7 linked regions of the Callithrix jacchus genome follow. The protein of the gene in region 6 interacts with the protein of the main gene of each other region in a biochemical or structural test. Links are inferred from orthologs where the notes say so. Each region holds a gene or a part of one and is shown on either strand. Other genes may lie near its edges. The genes, in order: UBA1, CDKN1B, SKP2, CUL2, WWP2, CDC34 and PPARG.

Region 1 (4,237 bases), on a different chromosome or scaffold from region 6:
ATGAATTATGCTGCTGCAGTAGCTCAACCTAGAAACTCAGAGAGGTCAAGAAAGGTCCCACCCAATTATGAATTGTGCATAAGGCAAAGAAACACTCAAGAATGCCCTGCCCAGCAAATAGGGATTATGATGCTGTAGCCAATGCAGTGACCACGCCTTCCTGTTCATGAATAATGAAAGAGAGGCCGGGCGCGGTGGCTCACGCCTATAATCCCAGCACTTTGGGAGGCTGAGGCAGGTGGATCACGAGGTCAAGAGTGTGGATCACGAGGTCAAGAGATCGAGACCATCCTGGTCAACGTGGTGAAACCCCGTCTCTATTAAAAATACAAAAAAATTAGCTGGGCATGGTGGCGTGTGCCTGTAATCCCAGCTACTCAGGAGGCTGAGGCAGGAGAATTGCCTGAACCCAGGAGGCGGAGGTTGCGGTGAGCCAAGATCGCGCCATTGCACTCCAGCCTGGGTAACAAGAGCAAAACTCCGTCCCAAAAATAAATAAATAAATAAATAAATAAAATAACGAAAGATAACGCTGCAGCGCCACCAAGAAACCCAGGGGGAATGTACTCCCTGCCCCCGCCTCCCCTCCACATGCCTCCCCCGATTCTCCCCCTTAGGAACCAGGGCTGTCTTGGTCCAATCAAACCTTAACTCACTACATGTATTTGGCAGGTGCCTCAGTTTCCACAACTGTAAAATGAGGACAGTAATAGAGCCCATCCACCTCCCAAAGATGCGTTATTATGAAAATCAGATCACGCCTGTAATCCCAGCACTTTGGGAGGCTGAGGCAGGTGGATCACCTGAGGTCAAAAGTTCGAGACCAGCCTGGCCAACATGGCGAAACCCCGTCTCTACTAAAAATACAAAAATTAGCTGGGCTTGGTAGTGGGCACCTACAGCTGAGATTACAATCTCAGCTACTCCGGAGGCTGAGACAGGAGAATCGCTTGAACCCAGGAGGCAGAGGTTGCAGTGAGACGAGATGCCATTGCACTCCAGCCTGGGCAACAAGAGTGAAACTCCATCTCAAAAAAAGAAAATCAGAGAATATGAATTACGGGATGAGCCTTAGAACAGTGCTGGCACAAGGCACTGTTAAAATTGTTTTAATATTATATATTAATATAAAGGTAATATGTTGAGATATGTAAATATATATTTACATTAATATAAAATTAGTTGTGAGTGAAGGCATACCAAACCACTAGAGAAACCCCCAACTTGGGCCACTGTTTCCCCATCCATAAAATAGGAATAACAACAGCAACTTACCTACTGATGGAATTTAAATGAAGAAATATGTACAAAGGGTTTAGACCAGTGCTTGGCACATACTAAATGTTATATTAGTAGTAGTACTATTAAATGGCGGCGGGGGTAGGGTGGGGAGACATGATGGCATCTGGTTAAAACTACAGATTGTGGAACTACACCCCGGTTTGAATCCAGGCCCACCCATTCACTAATTGTGTGATCTTAGGCAAACTACTTAGCCTTTCTGTGTCCCAGTTTCCTTATCTATAAAGTGGGGTAATAATAACCTACCTCCTAGGACTGTCGTGAAGATGAAATGTGCTAAGTGGCTAAATGAGTGTAAGCTATCTCATCATTATCTTCATACCCATTATTCAGGCTCACAGAACTATTTGCCAAAGATCACACAACTGGAAACGATCGATGGGATTTGAATCCAGAGCCTCGGTTGATTATCTAGGACTACCGGACTATAAGAAACGAACGTAGGAGGCCTCATCCCTTCGATAGACGCCAAGTTTTAACCCTGGTACCTGTAAGGGAAGGCTAACCACAGATCATGAAGATGAAGCTGCAAAAGCCATGCTCCGCGTGAATTAAGCACTGAGCCCCTAGAAAAATCACAGAAAATTCAAGGCGCTACTTACTTTTGCGAATTATCAATGAACTCTAGTTTGCGCGGCAGACTTCAGAACGCCCCTTCAGCACGCTGATCCGCCCCTCGTGAATAACTCACAAACAATTACCTTTAGCGGACTAGGTGTGTAAGAGGCAAAAAACGGCCTCCCACCACAGCCCCACCTCCTTATGAATAATGAATAAAGCCGCCACCAACAGAGGCCGGGTGGCGCCGCGTCCGCCCAGGAAGAGCGGGGCTCCGGCGTCCCTTCCCCAGCCTGAGCTGGGAGGCCCCTCTCCCTTAGAAACTTGTGGGCCCCCGACGTGTCCAGCCTGGCAGTCCTGAGTCTCAAACGACGGGAGGACCTCATCACAGAACCAGAGGTCACAAAGGCCTGACACCTCCACAATGCCACGTCGGTCCCGATTGTTCGCACTGTCACCAGCACCCCGTCCTGAAATAAGCCCTCCTCCGGTCCCGCCTTGACTTTAGTAACCTCAAACTTTACTTCTCCCCTTGAAGAATAACCCAAATCCTGCTCCATAGACAAGGGTGCCCATACACGGACCCTGAGAATCTCCCCAAAGCCCTGCAAACCCTGCCTCCGAGGGGTGCTCTCCCAAACAGACTCCCAAATCCCACCCCGGAGTCCCCAAAGGGCACCCCCTAAGGGTCTCCTCAAAAGCAGACGCCCCCTAAATATCACACCAGGCCCAGAGGCTCCAAATACGCCCATTAGGGGATCCCCGAAGTTGGAATTAGGGAAGCACCCTCCTCCAAATGCTGTCCAGACACTTGGGGGCACAGTGCTCCAGCTTACCACCTGCGCCGGGCGGAAGCCTCGCCTTCCTGCCGAAGATGAGCTGAAGCCACGGGGCAACGGAAGAGCAAACCACCTCCGTCGTACAAGAGAAGCCAGAGTTTGCGCCGAGCTCGGAAGCGCGGGGCCTCGGAGAGCCCCGGGTCTGGGATGTACCACAGATGCTTTGCTAAAGGGGCGTCAGTCCCTGCTCCCGTGTTGCTGGTGCCCGTTTCAGACCCAGATGCCCCTACAGATTGTAGTACGGCCCAAATGCGCGCGGCATGCTGGGGGTGGTAGTTCTGTCTGGCCAGTGCCGGGTGCACGTGGTGGGCACCAGCGCCCAGAATATGGGAAAATGCAAGCCTGGGCTGTGGAATTCCGGGAGCCGTGCTCTGTGGTGTGGGAAAAGAAGGCGGAACGTGTGGGTGCCTCCATATGGCACACCCATCCTACAGATGGGGAGACTGAGCCTCAGGTGGCCAAAAATGTTCATTTGACATGGGCCAGGTGCTGGAAATTCTTCCTTGACCTCATGGAGCTGACATTCCAGCAAGAGACACAGACCATAAACATAACAATAAGTAAGATTATAGTTTCACATGCAAATCCGTATTAGAATAGATATCTGTGACTATACACAGTAATATAAATTATGTGCTGGATAACGTTTCGGTCAATGGTCCTGTAACAGACAAATTTTTACTGTTATCTTTTCTATGTTTACATATGTTATCGTAGTAGAGACGGGTTTTCGCCACGAACTCCTGAGCTCAGACGATACCGCCCACTTGGCCTCCCAAAGTGATGGGATTACAGGCATGAGCCACCTCGCCCAGCAAAATTCTTTAGCCTTTTAATAAATGGAGTCTTGGCTGGGTGCAGTGGCTCATGTCTGTAATCCCATCACTTTGGCAGGCCGAGGTGGGATGATTGCTAGAGCACAGGAGTTTAAGACCAGCCTGGGCAACAGAGTGAGACACCCCACCCCCCACCACCTGGTCTCTATAAGAAATCAAAGAATTAGCTGGGCGTAGTGGGGTGCATTTGTGTTCCCACAGTGAGCCCTGCGGAGGCAGGAAAATAGACAAAGGAGAGGGAGAGGGAGGGTGGAAGAGACGGTTATACTATTTTGCACTGCCTCCAGCGATGTATGAGAGTGGCCCTTCCTTCTAGGCTTCACCGAGGTTATTGGTTTTGTTTTGTTTTGTTTTCTTTGAGACAGAGTCTCACTCTGTCGCCCAGGCTGGACTACAGTGGCACGATCTCAGTTTACTGCAACCTCTGCCTCCCAGGTTCAAGCGATTCTCCTGCCTCACCCTCCTGAGTAGCTAGGATTACAGGCACCACGCCCAGCTAATTTTTATATTTTTAGTAGAGACAGGGTTTCACCATGTTGGCCAGGCTGGTCTCGAACTCCTGACCTCAAGTGATCCGTCTGCCTCAGCCTCCCAAAGTGTTGGGATTACAGGCGTGAGCCACCGTGCCCGGCAGGATATGACTTTTATTTATTTATTTATTTATTTATTTTTTGAGATGGAGTCTCGCTCTGTCGCCGAAGC
Region 2 (4,125 bases), on a different chromosome or scaffold from region 6:
TTTTCTCACTTCATATGGTACTATGAAACAGGCTCTATAGTACCGTTCTGTATAAGCTCTGAAAAATACAAGGTATAGTGAAGTCGAATACACAATTTAAAGACACAACAAACCTGAATCCCACCTTAATCCCTGTTAAAATTTTTATAAATGAGGATTTAATAAGTTAACAATATTTATCAAGATCGCCTCATATGCTAAGCTATGTATGTGCTTTAAAAAAGAAAGAGGTCACAATCTTGGTCTATAAGACACTAAAAAACTTAATATGTATGTTAATTCGATAATTATGACTAGCTAATCCATGTACATTTGGGGGCTGAATTATTCAAATTAGCTATTAACGGTGATCAGATTGAGTACGGAAAAATCTCCACTTCCTTTGTGCTGGGTTGACCCACGGTCACCAGTCTTGATATTTACTACCCATTTCCCCTACAAATATCAAATCACCCTATTACAGCACAATTAGCATACACTGGCTGACCTGTTCACGGATTGCTTACTGACAGAGTTAATCTAACTTCTGCTTTGCAACTTGAGTGTTCCCAGAAATTGAGAAACTTTAGTAATTTTTTTATCTTTCCATTTTGCTTTTTGTAAATACTGATTCCTTCTCTCTACAAACTCTCTAGAACAGGGAAAGTGACCGTTTATGAAAATGTCAAAGACAGAACACAACATAACAACACCCTATTCACATCTCCAATCCCTTGCATCACCAAAGGTGAGCAATTTCTACCACATATTCCCCTCAAAATTTAAACTTAATTATGTATTTGCCATTTTTCCATGTATGGCTCAAAAATGTTACAGACTCAAACTGAACCTCTGGGAAATTAACTCTCATGAAGTGGGACTGAGGGAGTACCCCAATTCTTGTTCAGATGGGGAAAGAACTTATTGTTATATGTCTCAGTAGGACTCACAGAAAAATGCCCTTCCTACCCGACGGGGCCTTGGTTACAGTAGCTGCTCTGGTCTACTATTTCAAGAGAAAGTATCTTCGGGCAAAGAAACTTTGAAGAATTACAGTATCCCCACAGTGATTCCCAGCCTTCCCAATCGCTACTTTTTTGACCTCACGAAGTATAAACAAAACAAAACCCCACAGGCTTTTAATCTGCCAGCAAACAGTAAGATCAGGTGTCGTGGGTTCTGAAGGCCCTGGGTTTCAGTGCGTGCTCCTTTGCTGATCAAACCCACCGAACTGTTTACGTCTGACGTCTTCTGAGGCCAGGCTTCTTGGGCGTCTGCTCCACAGAACCGGCATTCGGGGAACCGTCTGAAACATTTTCTTCTGTTCTGTTGGCTCTTTTGTTTTGAGTAGAAGAATCTAAGAGTGGGGGAAATTTTTAAAAAGAACACACAATCTTTGTTAGAAAAAACAATGGATGCAGAAGTTGGCCCGATATTTAGGGGATGAAAAACCCACCACCTCCACCCACAATCCTGTATCCGTCATCCCAAATGGCCTTTAAGGGCACAAAATGAGGTTGTTTTCAAAAAACAGAAAGTGCATTCTCCGCCCCAGAGCGCTCTCGCTAGCCAGGAGGCGGACCATTGATAAACATCCCAACTTTGTCACATACCTAAGGCTGGCTAGTGGGAGGGACTGCGACGTCCTAAATTAGGGAAATTATCGGATCTTACCATCTCCAGTTTCTGACTTAAAAGTTACAAACAGACAAGCAGTGGGTCAGGTAGCACTGGAAACCTAAGACCAAAAAAGTTAGCCCTTCCAAAATTAAATCAGAATACGCCGGAAAACAAGCTGAGATTAACACCCTCCAGCAGGCAAAGCGGGCCCCCAGACACAAACAATCTACGGTTGGGAAGGGGCCATTACCGTCAGCTGCAGGTCGCTTCCTTATTCCTGCGCACTGCTCCGCTAACCCCGTCTGGCTGTCGGACGGATCAGTCTTTGGGTCTACCAAGTGCGTGTCCTCAGAGTTAGCCGGAGCCCCAATTAAAGGCGCCGCCGGGCGGCTCCCGCTGACATCCTGGCTCTCCTGAGCCGGCACCTTGCAGGCGCCTTTGGGGGGGCGCGGGGGTCTGTAGTAGAACTCGGGCAAGCTGCCCTTCTCCACCTCTTGCCACTCGTACTTGCCCTCCAGGGGCTTGTGATTCTGAAAATCGAAATTCCACTTGAGCTGGCTCGCCTCTTCCATGTCTCTGCAGTGCTTCTCCAAGTCCCGGGTTAACTCTTCGTGGTCCACCGGGCCGAAGAGGTTCCTGCAGGCCGAGGGCTTGGGGTGCTCCGCCTGCCTGGCGTCCATCCGCTCCAGGCTGGGGCTCCCGTTAGACATTCGCACGTTTGACATCTTCCCCCCGGGTCTGTACGGCCGCCTCTCTCGCACTCTCAAAAACACGAAACAAAACAAAACGCCCCTACGCAGCCCGAACCACACTCGGGAGCCCAGCGACTGCCCTCGGAGCCAAAAGACACGGACCCGGACGAGCCACGGCCCGAGCTACAGGAGCGCGCAGGGTCTGCGGGATGGGGCTGCGGAGAAGCCCCTGCCCAGCCGCCGAGTCTCCGCTGATCAAGTGGACTGGCGAGTGGGAGGGCGGGGAGGGGCGGGGAGGGGACCAGGCAAGCGGAGGGGGTGGCAAAGCCCGTCCGAGTCCGGGCGGTGCAAGCCCGCGGGTCCCGCGAACCCAGCCGCTCTCCAAACCTTGCCGGCGTCGGAGTCGCGGAGCCGTGAGCAAGCGGGGACAGGGGAGGGGGCGAAAAACACCCCGAAAAGACGAGCCCCCTTTTTTAGTGGCCCAATATGGCGGTGGAAGGGAGGCTGACGAAGAAGAAAATGATTGACACGGCTAGTCTATTTAAACAGAGGAGGAGATCCATTGGTTGCGGCGCCGGGAGCCGCCCCGCCGAGGCTGGCTAGCGCAGGCTTAAGGTGGCCCCGGCGCCGTTCCGCCTCCTCCCCGCGTTCCCGAGCGCGCCGCCTCCCCGAGCGCCGCCGGGACATTGGCTGGTCGCGTGACTGCTGGAGGTGTACTGCTGCCAACAAACCTGCTCTGGCTGGCCTCGGAGAAATTAAAATTAAGACAAACAAACTAGCCAAACGGCCGGGAAGCTGGGGCGGGGCCTGGGGTTCGGGGCCCGGCGCGGCGCCTAAGTCCCGACCTCCCGCTCCTTGCCCGGGAAGCCGGGGGCCTAGACCAGAGGACCTCGAAGGTCACCAGCAGCTCGCTTAGAGCCGAAGTGGCGAGCTGCCCCCAGCTCAACCTTCCCCAGTGGCCCCCACCTCGCGGCCTGTGGGGGAGGCCGTGGAGCGTTTGCTGGAGGGGCTGGGCACCGCCCCGGCCGGTTTGCCTTAGCTGGGGGTGGGTGGTAGTTCGCTCAGCCTTAATCCAGAAGTTTCTGCCATCCCTGGGGAGGTAGCAGGCCTAGGGAAGAAGCCAAGGCGAAGGTCTTTCTTTTAGAAATTAGCCAGGAGTAGACGCGGCACTTACCATAAACTCAAGCTCTCTCTCCATGAAAATTAAGAAAGGAACTCAAGATTTAAAAAAAAAAAAAACTCGAGTAGTCTCTCAAGTCCATTAATAAACGCTGTAGCTGTCCCAGACACATTCAGTTTTGAAAACCGAGGTTACACCCCTGGCCCAGGCTCTTGCTTCCCAAGCAGAGTTAAGGCCATGGACGTCGGCTGCGTGTGGGAACTGTCTCTCTCTACTTTTCAGTTCTTTCCCGGGATTGTAGCAGTTTCCTCTACCTGGGTCCAGCCGCCAAATACAACAGCTCCTTCCTTCCTCCACCCTTCTCTCTCACCAGATTTCACTGCTCCAACAAACTCAGAACAATATTCAGATGCTAGTGAATGCTTTCAGAGGGCTGAAGGGTGAAAATACTCCCCTCGGGGCCAAACTCCAGATGATGAAATGATTCTTAAAGCCACCAAACCATGTCCTAATGTCCGATATTCCAGCGTTTCTCTGCTCCCTTTTGCAGCTGGAAATTTCTCTCATTGTGGGCTTGAGCACCGTGGTGGAAGGTAAAGTAGGACGACGAGCAGGGCTGCCCTGAGACAAAGCTCAGTGGATCTTCAGCTGCTCTCCCCACCCCCATGCCCCGTACCCATCATCTCGGTTTGGGCCAAAGTTAATACATTTTGC
Region 3 (3,928 bases), on a different chromosome or scaffold from region 6:
TTGACTTTAACATCAGAATATATCTGGAATCTGACCACCTTCACCCCCAACAAGACTCCAAGCTTTGGCCAGGTGTGGTGGCTCATGCCTGTAAGCCTAGCATTTTGGGAGGCCAAGGCTGGAGGATTGCCCGAGTCCAGGAGTTTGAGACCAGCCTGGGCAAGATGGTGAGACCCCATCTCTATAAAAAATAAAAATTAGCTGGGTGTGGTGGTGCATGCCTGTAGTCTTAGTTACATGGGAAGCTGAGGCAGGAGAATCACTTGAATCCAGGAGGTGAAGACAGTGAGCCAAAAGCTGAAATCATGCCACTGCACGCCAGCCTCGGCGACAGAGCAAGACTCCGTCTTGAAAATATAAAATTTTAAAAAGCTCCAAGTTTCTACCCTTGGCACAACTGCAATTGAGTCTCAACACATCAGTGTGTCCTTTTTCAAAGGTTAAACTGGGTCCCATCACAACTCTGCTCAACATTACCTCCAGCCTGATCTCCCCGACTCTCCCCTTTGCTCCTTCCACTCTTAGAATACGGCCTCCCTGTTCCTGGAACAAGCATGTCACATTTATGCACCAGGGTCTTTGCAATGGCTGTTCCTTCTGCATGGAGCTCTTTTCTTCAAAATATTTGCATGGCACACTCCCTGGCCTCCTTTACATCTTTGCTTAAAGCTCACTGTCTAATTGAGGCTTTCCCTCAATACCTGGTTTAAAAGTGCACTCTATCTTCCCACCCAAGGACCTGCAATCCCTCTTGGCTTGTTCTATTTGTGTTTTTAGCCATAGCACTTATCACCTTCTAACATACTACCTCAACATATTTATTGTGTTTATTGTATTCTCTCACTAGAATGGATGCTCCCTGAGAGCAGAAATGTTTATGTTGTATTCACTCCTGTATTTCCAGCACCTGGAACACTGCCTAGCACATGGTATGTGCTCAGCAAATATTTGCTGTATTACTGTTTTAAACGTCTTACTAGCAAGAAAAACTGATAACCCCAGGTCAATGCCCTATGTTTACCCTATGGCTTTTGCATACTCCAGGGTTCTGGTTCACTCTGGGAGGCACCCGTTCACCTGCTTGAGAAACTAGGGGATGGGGAGCTATTAAGGAGGGAAGATATGGCGAGTTCTACATTTCAGTCAATCCATTCTGGTTCTGTGGGATAGATCTGGGGAGAAAAGGTTGAAATTATAAATCTACTCCAATAGTTCAGGCAAGAGATGATGAGAACTTGAGAAATAGTTACCAGAGAAGAGGACAAGATGTGATGAACGACTGGATATTGTGGGAAGGTGGGAATCTTACTGACTCCAGGTTTTTGGGTTGGGTAATTAAACAAGATAGTATCAGCAGTAATGGAGACAGAACACACAGGAGAAGCCAATATGGGAGTGGGAGCGAACCTGGGGAGATAAATCTCCTCCACTTAGGTAAACATTCACTTTAGCAATCCACTGATAAATACCTAAAGTGATTAAGACAAAAAGCTCACTCAGGGGTACAAAGCAAAAGGAATCCTACAAGAAGACCACTGTTTATGTTTCTATTCATCAGTGGCACCGAGCTGGCCTTTGGGCAGGCAGATTCCCTTCTAAGGATAAAGGCAGGAGTGTCTTCTCACGGGTTAAAATTTTCAAGGTGATTGTGCACCAGAACATATATACCCACCAAGATTCCTGCATATTTGACGACTTCCCCCATTTTGTTGAAAAAATAACTTCGGAATTAGGCAATCTTAAAAGGAACCCATGGTAAAGATCCCTGAACAAAGGTTTCCCAACAGCATAGCTAAATCCACCCTTTGCGTAACTGACATTTTTTACCCTCATAGCCTTACCTGGAAAGTTCTCTCGATTTAGCTTAGGCCTGCGGATAATCACAAAGTCTTTGTCACTCCCTTTGCTCTTCAGCCGTTTCCTTGGGGGGCTCTGCGGGATGCCCAGGTTTGAGAGCAGTTCCTGGGGGATGTTCTCACTGTCGGGCTCCTCTTTCTCCAGGGCGGAGACCCCCATGCCTGAGAGCAGTTCAGAAGTCTTGCTGGAATCCCATCCCCACGTGAAGCTAGTGGCAACGTTGCTACTCAGGTCTGGAATCTCCTGGAGGTGCTTCCTGCAGAAGTGCACAATACCCCCGGTTCCTTTCGAAAACACCCATAAATAATCCCAAGTGAGGCATTAAAGAAGCTGGAATTTATGCATTGTAGAGAACCTTCACAGTGGCTAACAGAATCGCCTTTTTTACATGCTCGCGGCGAGTTTTCAAGAAAAAAAAAAAAAGAAATTCAAAGAACAAATCGAAAAGGCTTTTTGACTTACGATCCTGCAGAAGGCCTCAAGAATTTCTCCCAGTGGAGGGAACAGACAAGGAAAGAGAGAGAGAGAGGGCAATCATACACTGATTGAAAACGGTGGCAGAAAAGCCCAATTAAGGAAGCCAAATAAAACCGCACGCTGATCCCCGCACTAAAGCATCCAACCATTCACACTTTTCCCAAGAAGGGGCTAAGCAACCATTCACTTAACAGCATTACTAACAATATTAGCCAGTAGCGATATTCGCGGCCTAAAAGAATTATTAAGAGGGTCCATTCATGCTCTTCCACTTTTTGCAATCTGTTTACCTGTGCATAGCGTCCTCAGGTTCGGGAGTTTAAAATACGTGCATTAATTGCAGAGCCTCCCGCCTCCCGGATTCCCGCTTTGGCGCGCGGCGGCTCCGAGCGTGGTGCTCGGGCCCCCAGCAGCTAGACCCGCTAAGTCTAGCAACGTTCCATCCCAGCAGCGCGCGCAAGACTCTGCAAGCCCGCTCTGCTTCGCGGGGCACTGCGGCCCTACGGCCTCCTGGGAATTGTAGTTTCCGTCCTGTTTCGTAGTCCGACTGGCTCGCCCTTACTTCCTTCCCTGGCAGTTTTGCCCGCCTTCGAGATACCCACAACCCCCCGCGGGAGCGGGACTGGCTGGTCCACGGGGTAGGCGGGGAGGCGGAAGCGGGCGGCGCTAAGACTGACTGGGAAATGTCAGCCACTTGACTGCAGACGGATATTCCTTTCCCGGGAGCCTGCAGGCCTTCTGGTGATCGCCAGCGCTGTCGTCTCTGAGTGTGGATCCCAGAACCTGGACAGCTGTGGCGGCCGCCGTTTCATGGTCCCATCCAGACGTTGTCTGGCGAGATCGGACGGTGAGCCTGAGAGGGAACGCGTGAGACGCTTTGGTGTCTGGGGACCGGGGCCGAGAGCAGGCGGCAAAAGAGGAGACCCGGGAGACCCCGAGTGGCCGCCGCCGCCCGCCGCGGGGCCCACGTCCCTGGCCGCTGAGTGGTGGCTGTAGCCCAGCTCGCCAGCCAGGTGAGAGGCTGCGAACCGCGGGCGTCACACCTGTTTGTCCCTTTGCCAGGAAGCTGCTTCCTCCTTCGGGGAGAAGGCGGCCCTTAGCATTGGGTCTGTGGACAGGATCCTTCCTTTATCTGTAAAATACGCACAATAGCTAAAAACGCAGTTGGTCTTGAACTCCTGACCTTAGGTGATCCACCCATCTCGGCCTCCCAAAGTGCTGGGATTACTGGCGTGAGCCACAGCGCCCGGCCTAAAAACGCAGTTGGAACGAAAAACAGTGGTTTAATTTTAGGGGAGCCGAAGACCCCAGCGGGTCCTGGGTGGTGGGAAGGCTGCGCATGCCCTTGCAGCCTTGACAGCTCTCATAAATAGTAGCATGGGAATAAATGAAAGGACTGTATTTTGCAACGGGCTTTACCCATGCAACGCAGGGGTCCTCCAGCAAAGACTTTTGGTTGCTCGCTGACGCTCAACGGGCTACGTGTGTTTGCGTCGCCGCCTAAAAGCGAGCTGTTTTCAGCCTATCTGCTGAGAAGATTTTGGAGGTGGTTAAAGTAGGGAGGGTGACATATTCTAGGTACAATGACCATGCG
Region 4 (4,300 bases), on a different chromosome or scaffold from region 6:
TCGTCTCAGTACACAGCATCATCATCCTCCAGCAGAAGCCAAAAACCCCTGTCCCAACTGCATGCTCATCCAAAACATGACAATTTCAGTAAGTATCTTCAACTCCAAAACACATCTCAAAACATTTTCACTGGTTTCCTTGTGTGTCTCTTTTCCAAATGGCAGTCTGATTCTCAATCAGACCTTACCACTCCCAGTTTAGAAGAGTTCCAAAAGCCTCTTAAAGCTTCAGAAGAACAAAAGCCAACATGATCCAGCCCCTGGCTAGGACCTACCCTTAATCTCTCTCTTTTTTTTTTATTTTAAAAAAGAGAGCAAAGTCTACTTTTGCAGTCTGAGTTAAGAGACCAGGGAAGAGCCCGAACACAGTCCACTTTAAGCCACTTTCAGTTCGTTGGATCCCAGCTTGATAGCACCTCAAGGCTTCTCCATTTGATCCTCCCTAAAATAGAAACTTTTCCCTCAGAATTTCAAACTTTACCTCGGGAAGGTCTTCTCAGATTATAGTATCTGAAGTAATCCCCCAGCCACTACCACAACTCCTTACCTCATTTCCTACACAGCACTTACTCTCTGAGATTATCTGTTTACTGTCTGTCTCTCCATCCCAAGCCAGAATTGATACTCCGAGAAGATAAATTTAATGTGAAATTTAATGTGTCTTGTTTACCCTTGTATCCTTAATGCCTGCAGTGCTCCTTGGCAAATAAACCAAGTGCTTAATATTTGTCAACTGACAGATATTTTTTTTGTAGACACGGGGTCTCACCCCCCGTGTCTACAAAAGGCAAAAATGACTTTAAAGAAGTTCCACAACATTTAATCTCCTGACAGACTGGTGAAGATAAAAGACATGGATAATCTTCACATTTATAGAACACTGAAAGCCACCAAAGAGGATGGAGAATAAAGAGTATTTCAGAGGCAGGAGAACAACCAAATACTCAAAAGGCAACTGAAAAGGAATTTTTCCCAGGCTATGTGAATGCACACTGTAGAAATGTTCCAACTCATAAACAGCAAATAAAATTTAAAAAAAAAAAACGGGTAATTCAAAACGCTATGGGCTGGATGCAGTGGCTCAGGCCTGTAATCCCAACATTTTGGGAGGCCAAAGCAGGTGGATCACCTGAGGTCAGGAGTTCGAGACCAGCCTGGCCAACATGGTGTAAACCCCATCTCCACTAAAAATACAAAATTAGCCAGGTGTGGTGGCACATGCCAGTAATCCCAGCTACTTGGAAGTCTGAGGCAGGAGAATTGCTTAAACCCGGGAGGCGAATCACACCACTGCACTCCAGCCTGGGTGACAAGAGCCAAACTCCATCTCAAAACCAAAAAAACTATGTACTTCTGTTATCTCACGTGACTCTTTTGGAAAGATCTTCCCAGATACTGCATACGGTCAAAAGAAAAAGAAGCAAAGTATAGCTAATCCTTTCGTGTGTCTGTCCTGAAAAGGAATGTAAGATTCTAAAGGGCAGACAACAGTATTTTGAATGTTTTTAAGTGATTATTATGTAGTCAGTTGTCAATCCGATCAAAGTAATTATTTCCCATCATTACTACGAAGATAGGCTTGGAACAAGTCTAGTTCAAAGACGTTTATGTGTTGAACAGTCACAATCTATATTGAATGTTAATAGTATGTATCTTCAAAATTTAAACGCCCAGAGTAACTGGCCTTCAACTAGTAATATTTTAATCCATGGGACAAAGGTGTGGGCTTAACATTAATAACAGCCTACAATTCACGAATGTTTTATTTGCATGCACATAACGGTAGGGAATGGTCCAGACTCCCTAGAGGGTAAGCAAGTGCTAGAAAGCGTGTGAGGATCTTACTTCAGCAGACCCTAAGTGTTGAGACAAGAGGTCTAACATGCACGTAGGATACTCCTCCCCAAAGCTATCAATCTTTGCAGTCTGCGGAAACAAAAGTGAAAATACTCGTGGTAAGGATGCATGAGATTGATAACCCCCCTCCCACACACACACACGCAAACACAGAGTTGTGTATTCGTGTGAGCACGCAAATATGCAGAAGAGTACACGCACTCTCACCTTCCCTCCTTCGGAGGAAAATGGGGCCGAGGGAGAGGCGGCCAAGATCGGGTTGGGGAGGCCTGGGATCCAGTCCAGGGGGGTGGCAGGGCTTAGGGGTCAGCGCTCTGGGGAGCCGAGGTCACTTACAGGACACCATCTTCCCGGGCCTCCCCCCTTCATCCCTCTCCCCCGACCTCGTCGCCCCTAACTCCTCTCCTCCGCCCCAGCCCCGCCACCCATTAACCGGGAAGGGAAGTTTCCCGGCGCCTGCTGCCCGGCTCCCCGACCCTCAGCGGGGTTACCTTCTGCAGAAGCGGGGCAAGGGGCAGGGGACAAGGGGAGGGGGAGGCAGCCCGAAGGAGTGAAGGACGAAGCCCCGGCGAGGAAGGTGGGCGGAGGCGGCGGCGGCGGCTGTCAGCTCGCGTTCCCCCGCTCACAGCGCAGCCATTACTGTGCGCCGAGGCCGCCTCCCCGGCCGGCCGCCGCCACCAACCCCGGAGACGCGGGGGGTGGGGAGCGAAGCCCGGGGAGCCCGCGCGCCGACACTCACCTGTCTCCGCGAGGAAACACAGCGAAGTCCAAGGCCGCCGCCGCTCCGCGGCGGGGCAGGGGCGGTAGGGAGGGGGGTAAAGGGGAGAAGGACGGGCCGATTACGGGATCTGTAAAACAATCGTCCTCCTCTGCACCCGGCTTTGCTCAACACACACCCTCCGGTCTCCTTCTTCCGCTGCTGCCAAATTCCCCCTCGGAAAGCAATGGTAGAGACCTCGTTACGGCAAGCGCAGGGAGCCAAGCTTCGTGCGATTGCAAAAGGCCACGGAAATTAATATTCCAGGGATGCCCTGCTGGGCTTGCTGTCAATGAGGCAATTGCGGTTCGCTGAGCGGTTGGACACAGTACCCACCCACTATCCATTAGTCCAGGGACTACTAATAACAATGTGGGAATGGTACTTTCATCAGAAGTATGTTTTCCTTGTTTCAGACCTATGTGAAGAGCCTAAGACAGCACAATCCTCTTGCCACACACTGCCATGGGCTTTGCAAATGATCAAAAATATATTAGCAAAACTACTTTTTCTCCCTGACAAACTCTTTTTCTAGTGGGTTTTTATCTACAGAGCAAGTCTTGGACATACATGTATTTTCAATAAAGAAACTTCACATCTTTGTCACTAATACCTCACCTTCACCAAGCCCCAAGCATATCAGCTTGAAGGATCTTCCTCCCTTGGAGTTTTTCTTCCTTCTTTCTTTTTTTTTTTTCCCCTCTAACATGGATCATAGGAAACAACCTCCCTTGGAGTTTTAAACAGTAAAGTTGACAAAAATGTAGAATTACTCATCACCTCCTCATATATGCAAGACCACAGAGGAACAGAAGCCCAGCTTTAGTGCTTTCTGCCTTTCATATCTTCAAGAGCTCACGATCAGGGTCTTGTTCATTTGTACCATTCAGCAAGCTTTTCCCTCCCACCCCTTCCTTCTAAACTGTGCCAACTCTTCAAGGCCTGTTTAAAACCCTGCCTCCTGGCCGGATCAATCCCTAGAGTCTTCCTCCTCTTCTAATCTGCTCTTCATGGTATATGAAGTCTATATTCTTTATTTCAGTAAAGAGTTTTTATATACTAAATTCAATTCAACAGTATGTTTCCATTATGTGACCTTTTTTCCTCCCACGTTTTCCCCCCTTTTAATCTGTGCCGTCCCCAGACCCCTGGAAATCCCTGAGGCCTTTACAGAGGTCACAAGGTTAACAACTAGTTTGTCAACAATGCAACATTTCTTGTCCTTTTGTTTCTTTTTTTTGGATACAGAGTCTTGCTCTGTCACCCGGGCTAGAGTGCAGAGGTGGCACGATCTCAGCTCACTGCAACCTCCATCTCCCAAGTTCAAGCCATTCTCCTGCTTCAGTCTCCTGAGTAGCTGGGATTACAGGTGCCTGCTACCATCTCTAGCTAATGTTTTGTATTTTTTAGAGACGAGGTTTCACCATGTCACCATGTTGTCCAGGCTGGTGGTCTTGAACTCCTGAGCTCAGGCAGATCACCCACCTCGGCGTCCCAAAGTGCTAAGATTACAGGTGTGAGCCACTGTGCCAGGCCCACCTCCCCCCCGCCTTTTGACACAGGGTATCCCTCTGTCCCTGAGGCTGTAGTACAGTGGCCCAATCATAGCTCACTGAGTGTCCCATCTCAGTTTCTCAAGAAGCTGGAACTACAGGCCTGGCTAACTTTTGTATTTTTGGTAGAGAG
Region 5 (3,500 bases), on a different chromosome or scaffold from region 6:
ACCTGCTGGGACTCCTGGAGCAGAGTCCCCCGGCACCAGAGACTCACATGATGTACTCTTCCTTGTTCTCCTCCGTAACCCGGATGCTCTCGCCGCCCTCCTTCAGCTCGTGGGTCGTCACCTTGCCCAGGATCTCCATGTCCTGGATGAAGTACAGCTCCAGGCCACACTCTTCCAGGTTGTTCTCTCTGGGGGCACAGGAGACCAAGCGGGAAGATGTCTATAGTGGCGGGGTCTTTCCTGGGTCCTGCTTTGTTGCCTGTGGGACACCAAGGCCTCACAGGTGGCCTAGAATCCAGAAGAGTGACAAGCAACAGCTCCCTGACTCAAGGAGAGAATTCTAGAACTGTCCACAGAAGGCAATTCTCTCCACAAGCTCTTATAAAAGCTGCATGAGAGCTCAGGGGACACTCTGGCAGACAAAATCCAGGCCATCAGCACCTACTCCCCGCCCAGAGACATCCCTCCTATCAGTGCAGTGGGGTGTGGGGGGTGGTGGGGGCAGGGGGCTCACTTGATCCAGACAATGGAGTTGTAGAACTCGGGGTCGATGGACTCCAGGTCTTTCAGGGTTGGTCTCTTGTTGAGCATCCGCTTGTAGAAAGGGAGGGTAAAGCCCGTGTCAATGAACTTTCCGTGGTACAGCGCCTGGGAAGGAAGAGGCACAGCACAGAGCTTTGGCTTCCCTGGGCACCACCAGACCAGCTCTCAGATGCTCCATATCAAACCCCACCACAGCCACCTGCCTTCCTTCCCTGACAGAATCGCAGCAGCGGCTGCCTCAGGGGCACAGCAGGAGGGCCAGGGGAGTAAACGACACCTTTGTCCTAACTTGTACCTGCAGGTGGCCCCCAGCCTGCCCTGCAGAGCTCAGGGACTGGGCCGAGCTGGCCGGCGTGGGTACCCATGTCCAGGCCTGCATCTGCCCCATGCACTGGCCAGCTGGCCCCGGGCTAGCAAAGATCTGTCCCATGCTCACAGAAAAGGCTTGCTCCAAACAGCTCCAGGTGGCAGCAGCCCTGACTCACTGGTGCTCAGGGCGGGTGGCAATGACAGCCAAAAATAATGCAGACACCGCTGACGGCGAGAGCTGGCGGCCAATGGTGAGTAATAGTCTAGGGTTTTACCGGTCTGTCCTGTTGGCTGCTGGGCCAGGCGGGTCTCTAGACCTGGGAAAAATGTGCCCACTTCCACAGCCCAGCACCTTGGCCAAGAACTCCCAGGCGATGGGAAGGGCCATATTTAGTCATAGACTCCTGGGGAGCTTGGGTCCTCATAACAGGGAAGCAGGGCAGGACACTCAGGAAGGCAGGGGAAGAGGCGAAGGAAAGTGAGAATTGAAACATCTCAAGCTATGAATGTAGCTCCCAAGCTGTGGCTCCCACGGGCCCCGCTTCTCAATCCAGGTTCTCACACTCTCAAGACCCTCAACAGAGGGCACGTGGCAGAACCTCCCTTTCCATATTCACACCATGTCCCTCTTTCCAGTTAAACACAGATGCGATGCTGTGACGCCTCCCCAGAAATGGCCCACATTCCAACAGATGTCCCTACACCCTGCACCAGCCGGTCTGCCAGGGTTTCGTTCTAAGCTAGCATTGATTCCAAATGTCCTTCCAGAAGGCTTAGTGTCTCAGTGGGACATTCCCAAATGCCGGGACAGTGTCACCTCCCAGAGACAGGCAGCAGGTGGGCAGTTACGGTTTCACTCAGCCCTGTCATCCCAAGGCCCTCAACAGAGCACATATTTAATGTTCAGTAAAGTCTGTGGCCCCGAGACCCTGGCTTCCTCTTGACAAGTCCTATACAAAGCAACATGGAAACTTCACTACCTATATGGCAGCCACTGAGGAAAGCTCTGGTTTCTCCAGAGCTCTCGCTAGCTTTTTGCATTTTATTTTTAAAAGACAGAGTCTCGCTATGTTGCCCAGGCTGGAGTGCAGTGGCTATTCACAGGCACGATCCCACTACTGATCAGCATGGGAGTTTTGACCTGCTCCATTTCTGACCTGGGCCAGTTCACCCCTCCTCAGGCAACCTGGTGGTCCCCCGCTCCCGGGAGGTCATCATATTCATGCCGAACTTAGTGTGGACGCCCAATCAGCATAGGGCACTACAGCCCAGAATCCTGGGCTCAAGCGATCCTCCCACCTCAGCCTCCCGAGTAGCTGGGACTGCAGGCACGTGCCACGGCGCCTGGAGCTTTTTGCATTTTTACTTTACGAGTTCTATGGGGGTGAAGGGTGGGGATCAGAGAGGGCACACCAGTCCACAGGGGCTGCTATTCATGCCACGTTGCCTCCTGGTGAACAGGCCCAGGGCCTCCTCCAATGCTGCCCCTTCCTGGAGGTCTCAGAGGAAGAGGAGATTCCCCTGTGGCCCCCTTACCATGGCGATGAATCTGCCGATAAAGCGGAAGTAGGTGAGGTGGTCCGGGTTGATGGAGGAGGCGGGGTTGATCTGCAGGCAGTAATTGTTCTTCCCCGCGTATTCAAATAAACAATACATAGGGTTGAGCACCTCGTGAGACAGGAGGAAAAACCACTCTCTGTGAGGGAAGAGAAAGAAAAGACAAGAATAACGGGTCCCTTAGTGCACATCTGCACAGGAGCTGTGACTCTCCTCCATTGTGTCTCAGGTAGTCTGCGGACACGTGTTCCAAGGAGTCCAGTCCCGTGACAAGTGCCCGGGCTAACCTATATGAAAAGCTGATCAGTGAACAGGGCAGGCTGAGACCTAGAGTGAACCAGGGTGGGGTGGCAAGTGCATTTGAGGATGAGGTTCAGGAAAACGTGTGCCTGTTGGCTCCCAAGTGATGTGTTCCTGTTCCTAGACTTTACATCACAACATCCAGAGCGTCTAATGCTAAAGGGGGTCCTTGTACCCTGGGTCACCATGCTCAGCTGCATAGGCTGTGTACTGCACAAGGACACGATGCATGTTTATTACAATGATCTTTCTGCAAAGGTTCTGTTTGAATAGCAACGACCCTGCTTCCACTCTACCTGGACGGGCAACATAACATAAATACACAGCACCACATTCCCAATCCTGATCCATGAAAATGTCATCCGTACTGTCTTCCGATTAGAAACCTCACCCCCACCAACTATGCCACAGGCATCTCACTTCTCTTACACTTTGCCCTCCCTTCACCTCCAGACCCCCCACACCATACCCGTGCCCACACTTCCACGCATTCATCTGAACCAACACCCAGTCCCTGGTTTCGAGCCTCAAGCATGAATTCAGAGTCCTTTTGGGCTTGAGCTAAACCAGCCAGGGGACGTCCCAAGGGGGCCAGTCCCCGGCGGCTGGGCTGTTTGTGGCTGGGCAGACGAGGAGTCCTTCGATGCAGAGGGTGTCCCGGTATCCTGTCCGTGGTTCTACCCTGTGGTAGAACAGCATGACGTAACCTACCATAGGGTAAAACCACTGGCAGGACACAGAGAGAGACACACACAGGGCGCGGCCACACCAGAAGCCCACCAAGCAGAGCC
Region 6 (3,141 bases):
GCCAGGTGCAGTGGCAGGTGCCTGTAGTCCCAGCTACTCAGCTGAGGCAGGAAAATCTTTTGAACCTGGAGTGAGGGAGGCTGCAGTGAGCCAAGAATGCACCCCTGCACTCCAGCCTGGCAACAGCGTGAGACTCCATCTCAAAACAAACAAACAAACAGAAAACCAAAAATACAAAAATTTAGTTGGACATGGTGGCGGGCACCGGTAGTCCCAGCTACTCGGGAGGCTGAGGCAAGGGAGCTGCTTGAATCTGGGAGGGGGGGTTGCGGTGAGCCGAGATCGTGCCACTGCACTCCAGCCTGGGAGACAGGGCAAGACTCCGTCTCGAAAAACAAACAAACAAAAAACACTGAGGCTTCCACGAGCAAATCCCTGTGACCTCACTCAGAGAAAAGGAAACGGACTCAGAGAAAAGGAAACGGACTCAGAGAAAAGGAAACGGACTCAGAGAAAAGGAAACGGACTCAGAGAAAATGAAACGGACTCAGAGAAAAGGAAACGGACTCAGAGAAAAGGAAACGGACTCAGAGAAAAGGAAACGGACTCAGAGAAAAGGAAACGGACTCAGAGAAAAGGAAGCGCCTCGACGTAACAGGAAGATCAGGAAGCTTGACTGTACAGACACGCACATGTTCACACATCCACATCAACAGACACCCAAGAGAAGGGGCTGTGGGGCTCAGCTCTGGGCGTGACGGGGACAGCACACGGAGAGCTACCAGCTGCCACACAGGGGAGGCGGACCGCAGGTAGGGAAGGCACTGGTAGGCTGCACAGCTGCAGCCAGAGCTTGCCAGGCCAAGCGCCTGCAGGGACACACTCCCCACATGAGTAACAGCAACACTGCTGACTAACAGTCACCAGGGCGCACACAGCACGGCCCCTGTTCTTCATTAAAGCAGAGACATAAGTAAACTGACAAGCCTGAAAGAATCTACAGAAACATCAATCACTAGGCCGGGTGTGGTGGCTCACGCCTGTAATCCCAGCACTTTGGGAGGGTGAGATAGACAGATCGTCTGAAGTCAGGAGTTCGAGACCAGCCTGGCCAACGTGGTGAAATCCCAACTCTATTAAAAATTACAAAAAGCAGCCGGGCATGGTGGTGGGCATCTGTAAACCCAGCTACCCAGGAGGATGAGGCAGGAGAATAGCTGGAACCTGGGAAGCTGAGGCCGCACTGAGCCAGGGCACTCCAGCCTGGGTGACAGAGCCAGACCCCATCTCAGGGAGAAAAAAAAAGGGGGCCAGGCACAGTGGCTCACGCCTGTAATCCTAGCACCATGGAGACCGAGATCCTGAGGTCAGGAGATCGAGACCATCCTAGCTAATAGGGTGAAACCCTGACTCTACTAAAAATACAAAGAAATCAGCCAGACATGGCCTGTAGTCGCAGTTTGTAGTCCCAACTACTCAGGCGGCAGAGGCAGGAGAGTTGTTTGAACCTGGGAGGTGAACACTGCAGGGAAACGAGATCATACCACTGCACTCTAGCCTGGGCCAGAATGTGAGACTCTGCCTCAAAAACAGGAGGAAAAGAGGAAAAGGGGCAAGACGCTGGGCCCGGCCTCCACCTGTGACCGCTGCCCTGTGAAGGAGCAACAGGAAGCTCCTCCGCCCTCACCAGGACAGTGGGGCTGGGCAGCTGCAGGCCTGCCCACCGTGCAGGTGTAGAGAGGCCCAGGATTGCCAGCTGGAGTCTCTCCTCCCGCCCACCCCCCTGCCCTCACCGGATGATGTCCGTGTACTCCCGATCCTTCCCCTTGCTCTCTTTCCACTTCCTGTACATCACGGAGGCGTCCACGTTGGCGGGCGAGAAAGTGTTGGGCTCGTTGAGGAGGGAGATGACACTCAGGAGAATGGTCCTGTGGGGAGAGCGGCTGGAGTGGACCTGCCCGGGGAACCCTGGACCCGCCCAGCAGGTGACCTTCATCTGCCCTCACAGCATCTGCTTGTGTCTCGGGCCCCCAGAACAGCAGGGGCTAGAACTGCACCAGCCTCCTGCCTCCCATGCCGGGACCAGGGAGGGCAGCAGGGCAGACCCCGTCCGTCAGACCTGGGGCTGCCCTCATGCCCGTACATCCAGCCTGGGCTGTACTCCAGGACACGCCGGCAACAAGGCCCAGTGCCTGTACCTGGGGATGAGGCCCGGGGGGCACACATGGCATGAGGCGACCAATCCAGAGATGGCTGGGGAAGGAGAAGACCCCAGGACTGGGGCAGGAGGGGCACCTCTAGGTCGTTCCAGACCGTGGGGCTGGCCTGGGGTGGTGGGAGTCCACACAGACACCATAGCGCTGCAAGCCCTGTGAAACCGCCCACCATGCAGGTGTAGGGAGGCCCAGGATTGCCAGCTGGCAGGTCCCGAACCAAGCCTCGGCGCCACAGACTGGGAGGGAGCCCGGGCTACCTGATGTCCTCGTTGGACATGGCGGGGGGGGGCGGTCAGGTAGCCTACCTGACATTCTGGGTGGGGTTCCACCTCTCCGAAGGCAGCTCCCCACTCTGGGGGTCATCCACTGGGGGGTGGAGGATGGAGATGCACACATCCCCCGTCTGCACAGGGAGAGGACAGGTCAGAGGTCAGCACTGGCTCCCAGTGCCCCCCGGTCCCAGACGATGAGGACGTGAGGCCCATGGGGGCTGCACTCACCTCATAGATATTAGGGTGCCACATCTTGGTCAGGAACCGAAAGGCCGGTGGAGAGTACGGGTAGTCAATGGGGAACTTGAGGCGTGCCTGCATGGGCAGAAAGCCTGTGGCTTGGCTCAGCTAGCCCTGGCCCCAGGCCCTGCCCCAGCTAACAGGGAACCTGAAGCCATCCCACTCCCAGTGCTGGTGCTCCCAGGATAAGGCCCAGGCCGTGTGCCTGAGGCACGGTTTGTATGAGGGACACTCCATCCGGGCCAAGGCAGGGACTCTCAGGTGCGTGGGGTCAAGTCCCCAGCAGGCGGCCTCAAGCCTTCTGAGTCACCTGAGCTGATCACAGCTCCTACAAGTCCAGATGGCCAGGGCCCGACTCTGCACAGCTGCTGGGGAACGTGGGCATGAGCAGCCCAGGTCAGGCACATGGGACCCGGGCGGGGACACCCACTAGCAGTCAGAACGGACTGGCAGGGACTCCAGGCTCCTCTCGG
Region 7 (3,500 bases), on a different chromosome or scaffold from region 6:
CACCTAAGGAGTCAGAGTCTAGACTGAGGGCTGCCGTTGACTAAGGGATGGCCTTGGCAAGTCTTACAAACTCATAATTTCTACATCTGTAATGTGGCCATAAAGAAGCCCAACCTTATAGGATTGCTCTAGGGATCCAAAGATATGTATATACAAATAATCTGTAAAATCTTGTGTATACACAATATTACATGGCACAGCAAAAAAATAAACAAACAACTAGGGAATGCAGGAAATCTGCATCCTGGTGCCAAATCATCACTGTCTTCCCACGACACCTTGGAGAAGTCACTCTTTGTAAAAATCTGCAAGATGCAAGGGTTAAATTAAATCAGTGTCTCAAAGAATCAATTTGGAGAAAGGAATGTGGGGTAAAGCAGCCCTGCTTTTATCCACTTTCTTAGGCTCTCAAATATTACATCATCCTTTGGGAGGCTGAGGTGGGAGGATCACTTTAGCCCTGGAGCTCAATGCTGCAGTGTGCTCTGATTGTACCACTGTACTCCAGTCTGGGTGACAGAACAAGACACTTTTCTAAGAAGAAAAAATTCATATTTTTTATCACCTAAAGAAAGGGTTCTGCTCAAATGAAATAATAAGGTTTCAACGATTTCTTTGAAGAAAGATTTTTTTTTTTTTTTTAATTACCTTGCATCCTTCACAAGCATGAACTCCGTAGTGGAACCCAGAAGCTTTATCTCCACAGACACGACATTCGATTGCCATGAGGGAGTTGGAAGCCTCTTCATGAGGCTTACTGTAGAGCTGAGTCTTCTCAGAATAATAAGGTGGAGATGCGGGCTCCACTTTGATTGCACCTGTGTATAGAAACGTGAGAGGATAATTATCCCATGAAAACAGTCCTAAAAAGGCAAAAGGGCAAGCCACCATAGTACACCTTCATGCTGTATTTGTATTGTTTCAGTATAAAAGCACAATGGGACATGAAAAAAACACTAGAGTTAAGGCAAGAAAAAGAAGGCTGTGTAATCACAGTCAAGTTACAACATCGCTAAGCCTCACCTGTAAATTTAAAATGGGAACGGGAATTAAGTCTGTGGTTCTATGACCCCCAGTACCCTGCAATACTACAGCTTTAACAGACAACAGAGAGGCTTTGAGACAAGGAAGCTTATTTTGCTAGCAAATGTTCTGTCTTCGGTATTCATCACAATATTAAATTATACATTTTATTTAAATATTAAATTTTAGAAGTACTTTGGAACAGTGCTTGCAAAAGAACCACAAAAGGAACACTGCTGTGAATGCCTAGCTTCAAGGTGCAAGAAAAATAAGAGCCCAGGTTACCATCAGTGTTCAGTCAAAAGACGTGGTTTGTGAAATAATCTTTGACAGAGGGTGGGGGAACTTAATGGAAGTCCGGCCTACCTTTTACTAGTTAGGCCCATGGCTATTAAATTTCCATATTAGGCTCTAACTAAAAACCACACAGATAAATATAACTAAGCATATTATTTATCTTAAAAACCACCAGAAATACAGGAAGTTCTTACTTATTGTCAAGTAATGGTTGCCAGTTACATAGTGGTGGCTCTGGAAAACCAGCATGTCAGCCCACACATGATAAAAATCAAAGAAACAGCATCACAGAAATACATTTTATCTCAAAAAGTGCAGCTCTTGTTTTTCTTGCATCTGATGTTTTGATGTTAATTTAGTTAATGGCATGAAAATTTATCAATAGACTACAATGTTAAGACAAATTTGTGCTCAAAAGTAGGTTTCAGTATAAAATTCTGAAAGGACAAATTAGAAAAAAATGTACTGTAGTAGCAGTAATTTAGTGAAGATAAGTTATATAATAAATATCAGGTGACCTGGAACTGTTACTTATTAACTTACAAAGGCCAAAAGAATTCAAAGCGTGGATGATGGACTCTTAGCCAGAGATACAAATGGCAGTGTAATCAAGGTAGAAAATGTCCCTAAGAAGGAAGTAAGCAAGACAGGAAAGAAGAGAGGAAGGATAGAGTGGGGGAAAGGCAAGATTGGTCTGGCGCCAGCTTCCTTTCTGGCATTTCATAGATACCTAATGTTTGATGGATAAATGGGTGAATAAATCAATGATGAATGCCTTCTCTATTAGTGTTCTAGTCTCTGGAGTATTACAGGGTTACTGAGAGATTAGTCCAATTCCAGTCTTAGGAGTCTGAAAAATGAAAATAAACATACTTTGGTACTCTTGAAGTTTCAGGTCATACTTATAATCTGCAACCATCGGATCTGTTCTTGTGAATGGAATGTCTTCATAGTGTGGAGTAGAAATGCTGGAGAAGTCAACAGTAGTGAAGGGCTTGATGTCAAAGGAGTGGGAGTGGTCGTCCATTACGGAGAGATCCACGGAGCTGATCCCAAAGTTGGTGGGCCAGAATGGCATCTCTGTGTCAACCATGGTAATTTCTGAAAGGAAAAATAGACCAGCCATGAAGTTAAGTCCTGGAGAACAGAGCAATGTCACAGAGTTCCAGAAAGGGAAATGAAAGAGTCTTTGGCGAAGTAATCTCTTCTAGGCTCTTAAAACGAGAAAAGAACATAACCATCTTCTCAGTGCTGCTCAGGCTGTTTTATGATAGGAAGGAAGTCATCCTTTACCTATCAGAGTAGAGAATCCTGAAACAGTGCAGACACATATAGTATATTCATATAAGTGTCTTGCTAACAGTTCTGCTCTCATTATCTTCTACAGAAGGTCATCAATTGAGTCTGTTAATGACTGCTGTTATTTAAAATTTTTTCCAGCTTTATTTAAGTATAATAGACAAAAATTTTTAAACTTAAGGCACACAGGCCAGGCACGGTGGCCCACCTGTAATCCCAGCACTTTAGGAGGCCAAGGAAGGAGTATCACCTGAGGTCAGGAGTTTGAAACCAGGCTGGCCAACATGGCGAAACCTTGTCTTTACTAAAAATAGAAAAATTGGCTGGGTGTGGTAGCATGTGCCTATAATCTCAGCCACTTGGGAGGCTGAGGCAGGAGAATGGCTTGAACCCAGGAGGTGGAGGTTGCAGTGAGCCAACATCACACCACTGCACTCCAGCCCAGGCAACTGAGCAAGACTCCATTCAAAAACAAAACAAAACAAAAAAACAAGGTATACAATGTGATGTTTTAATGTATGTATTTACTGTGAAATGATTACCATCATCAAGCTAATGACCATACTCATCACTTCACATACCTTTTAAAGTATGAATATGTGTAGTGAGAACACTTAAGATCTACTGTCTTAGCAAATTTCAGATATACCATACGGCATCACTAACTATAGTCACCATGCTGAAGGTGACCTACACTTAGGTCTCCAGAACTCATGCTGCGTAACTGAAACTCTGGCTGACATCTCCCTATGCAATCACTCTCAAGCCCCTGGCAACCACCATTTTACTCTCTACTTGCATGAGTTTGACGTTTTTAGATTCCATGCCTAAGTGAGATCATGTGGTATTTGTCTTTCTGTGTCAAGTACCACCCAGTTTAC

The links.
Region 1: of the proteins of CDC34 (region 6) and UBA1, one has a biochemical effect on the other in vitro, tested with the Homo sapiens proteins (7 studies listed by BioGRID, with this or other methods). The link is inferred for Callithrix jacchus from reciprocal best matches to the Homo sapiens genes CDC34 and UBA1.
Region 2: of the proteins of CDC34 (region 6) and CDKN1B, one has a biochemical effect on the other in vitro, tested with the Homo sapiens proteins (3 studies listed by BioGRID, with this or other methods). The link is inferred for Callithrix jacchus from reciprocal best matches to the Homo sapiens genes CDC34 and CDKN1B.
Region 3: the proteins of CDC34 (region 6) and SKP2 form a complex in vitro, tested with the Homo sapiens proteins (3 studies listed by BioGRID, with this or other methods). The link is inferred for Callithrix jacchus from reciprocal best matches to the Homo sapiens genes CDC34 and SKP2.
Region 4: the proteins of CDC34 (region 6) and CUL2 form a complex in vitro, tested with the Homo sapiens proteins (2 studies listed by BioGRID). The link is inferred for Callithrix jacchus from reciprocal best matches to the Homo sapiens genes CDC34 and CUL2.
Region 5: the proteins of CDC34 (region 6) and WWP2 form a complex in vitro, tested with the Homo sapiens proteins (2 studies listed by BioGRID, with this or other methods). The link is inferred for Callithrix jacchus from reciprocal best matches to the Homo sapiens genes CDC34 and WWP2.
Region 7: the proteins of CDC34 (region 6) and PPARG form a complex in vitro, tested with the Homo sapiens proteins (2 studies listed by BioGRID). The link is inferred for Callithrix jacchus from reciprocal best matches to the Homo sapiens genes CDC34 and PPARG.

The regions. Positions count from the first base shown.
Region 1 is NC_133524.1:48,150,585-48,154,821, reverse strand, and holds the start of UBA1 (ubiquitin-like modifier-activating enzyme 1), read right to left. Parts: upstream 2,801-4,237; 5' UTR 2,697-2,800; intron 2,197-2,696; exon of another isoform or gene 1,905-2,196; intron 1-1,904. UniProt on the Homo sapiens protein: Catalyzes the first step in ubiquitin conjugation to mark cellular proteins for degradation through the ubiquitin-proteasome system.
Region 2 is NC_133510.1:10,589,263-10,593,387, forward strand, and holds the start of CDKN1B (cyclin-dependent kinase inhibitor 1B), read right to left. Parts: upstream 2,801-4,125; 5' UTR 2,325-2,800; coding exon 1,850-2,324; intron 1,337-1,849; coding exon 1,215-1,336; 3' UTR 1,207-1,214; intron 1-1,206. UniProt on the Homo sapiens protein: Important regulator of cell cycle progression. Inhibits the kinase activity of CDK2 bound to cyclin A, but has little inhibitory activity on CDK2 bound to SPDYA. Involved in G1 arrest. Potent inhibitor of cyclin E- and cyclin A-CDK2 complexes.
Region 3 is NC_133503.1:169,488,150-169,492,077, forward strand, and holds the start of SKP2 (S-phase kinase-associated protein 2), read right to left. Parts: upstream 2,801-3,928; 5' UTR 2,633-2,800; coding exon of another isoform or gene 2,625-2,632; 5' UTR 2,484-2,624; coding exon 2,320-2,483; intron 2,142-2,319; exon of another isoform or gene 2,114-2,141; coding exon 1,842-2,113; intron 1-1,841. UniProt on the Homo sapiens protein: Substrate recognition component of a SCF (SKP1-CUL1-F-box protein) E3 ubiquitin-protein ligase complex which mediates the ubiquitination and subsequent proteasomal degradation of target proteins involved in cell cycle progression, signal transduction and transcription.
Region 4 is NC_133508.1:34,722,559-34,726,858, forward strand, and holds the start of CUL2 (cullin-2), read right to left. Parts: upstream 2,801-4,300; 5' UTR 2,597-2,800; intron 2,503-2,596; exon of another isoform or gene 2,349-2,502; intron 2,172-2,348; exon of another isoform or gene 2,065-2,171; intron 1,927-2,064; 5' UTR 1,846-1,926; intron 1-1,845.
Region 5 is NC_133521.1:27,516,110-27,519,609, reverse strand, and holds part of WWP2 (NEDD4-like E3 ubiquitin-protein ligase WWP2), read right to left. Parts: intron 2,549-3,500; coding exon 2,389-2,548; intron 649-2,388; coding exon 515-648; intron 189-514; coding exon 48-188; intron 1-47. UniProt on the Homo sapiens protein: E3 ubiquitin-protein ligase which accepts ubiquitin from an E2 ubiquitin-conjugating enzyme in the form of a thioester and then directly transfers the ubiquitin to targeted substrates.
Region 6 is NC_133523.1:502,222-505,362, reverse strand, and holds part of CDC34 (ubiquitin-conjugating enzyme E2 R1), read right to left. Parts: intron 2,744-3,141; coding exon 2,657-2,743; intron 2,560-2,656; coding exon 2,462-2,559; intron 1,869-2,461; coding exon 1,734-1,868; intron 1-1,733. UniProt on the Homo sapiens protein: E2 ubiquitin-conjugating enzyme that accepts ubiquitin from an E1 ubiquitin-activating protein, and catalyzes its covalent attachment to other proteins by an E3 ubiquitin-protein ligase complex. In vitro catalyzes 'Lys-48'-linked polyubiquitination.
Region 7 is NC_133516.1:69,544,525-69,548,024, reverse strand, and holds part of PPARG (peroxisome proliferator-activated receptor gamma), read right to left. Parts: intron 2,422-3,500; coding exon 2,194-2,421; intron 819-2,193; coding exon 649-818; intron 1-648. UniProt on the Homo sapiens protein: Nuclear receptor that binds peroxisome proliferators such as hypolipidemic drugs and fatty acids.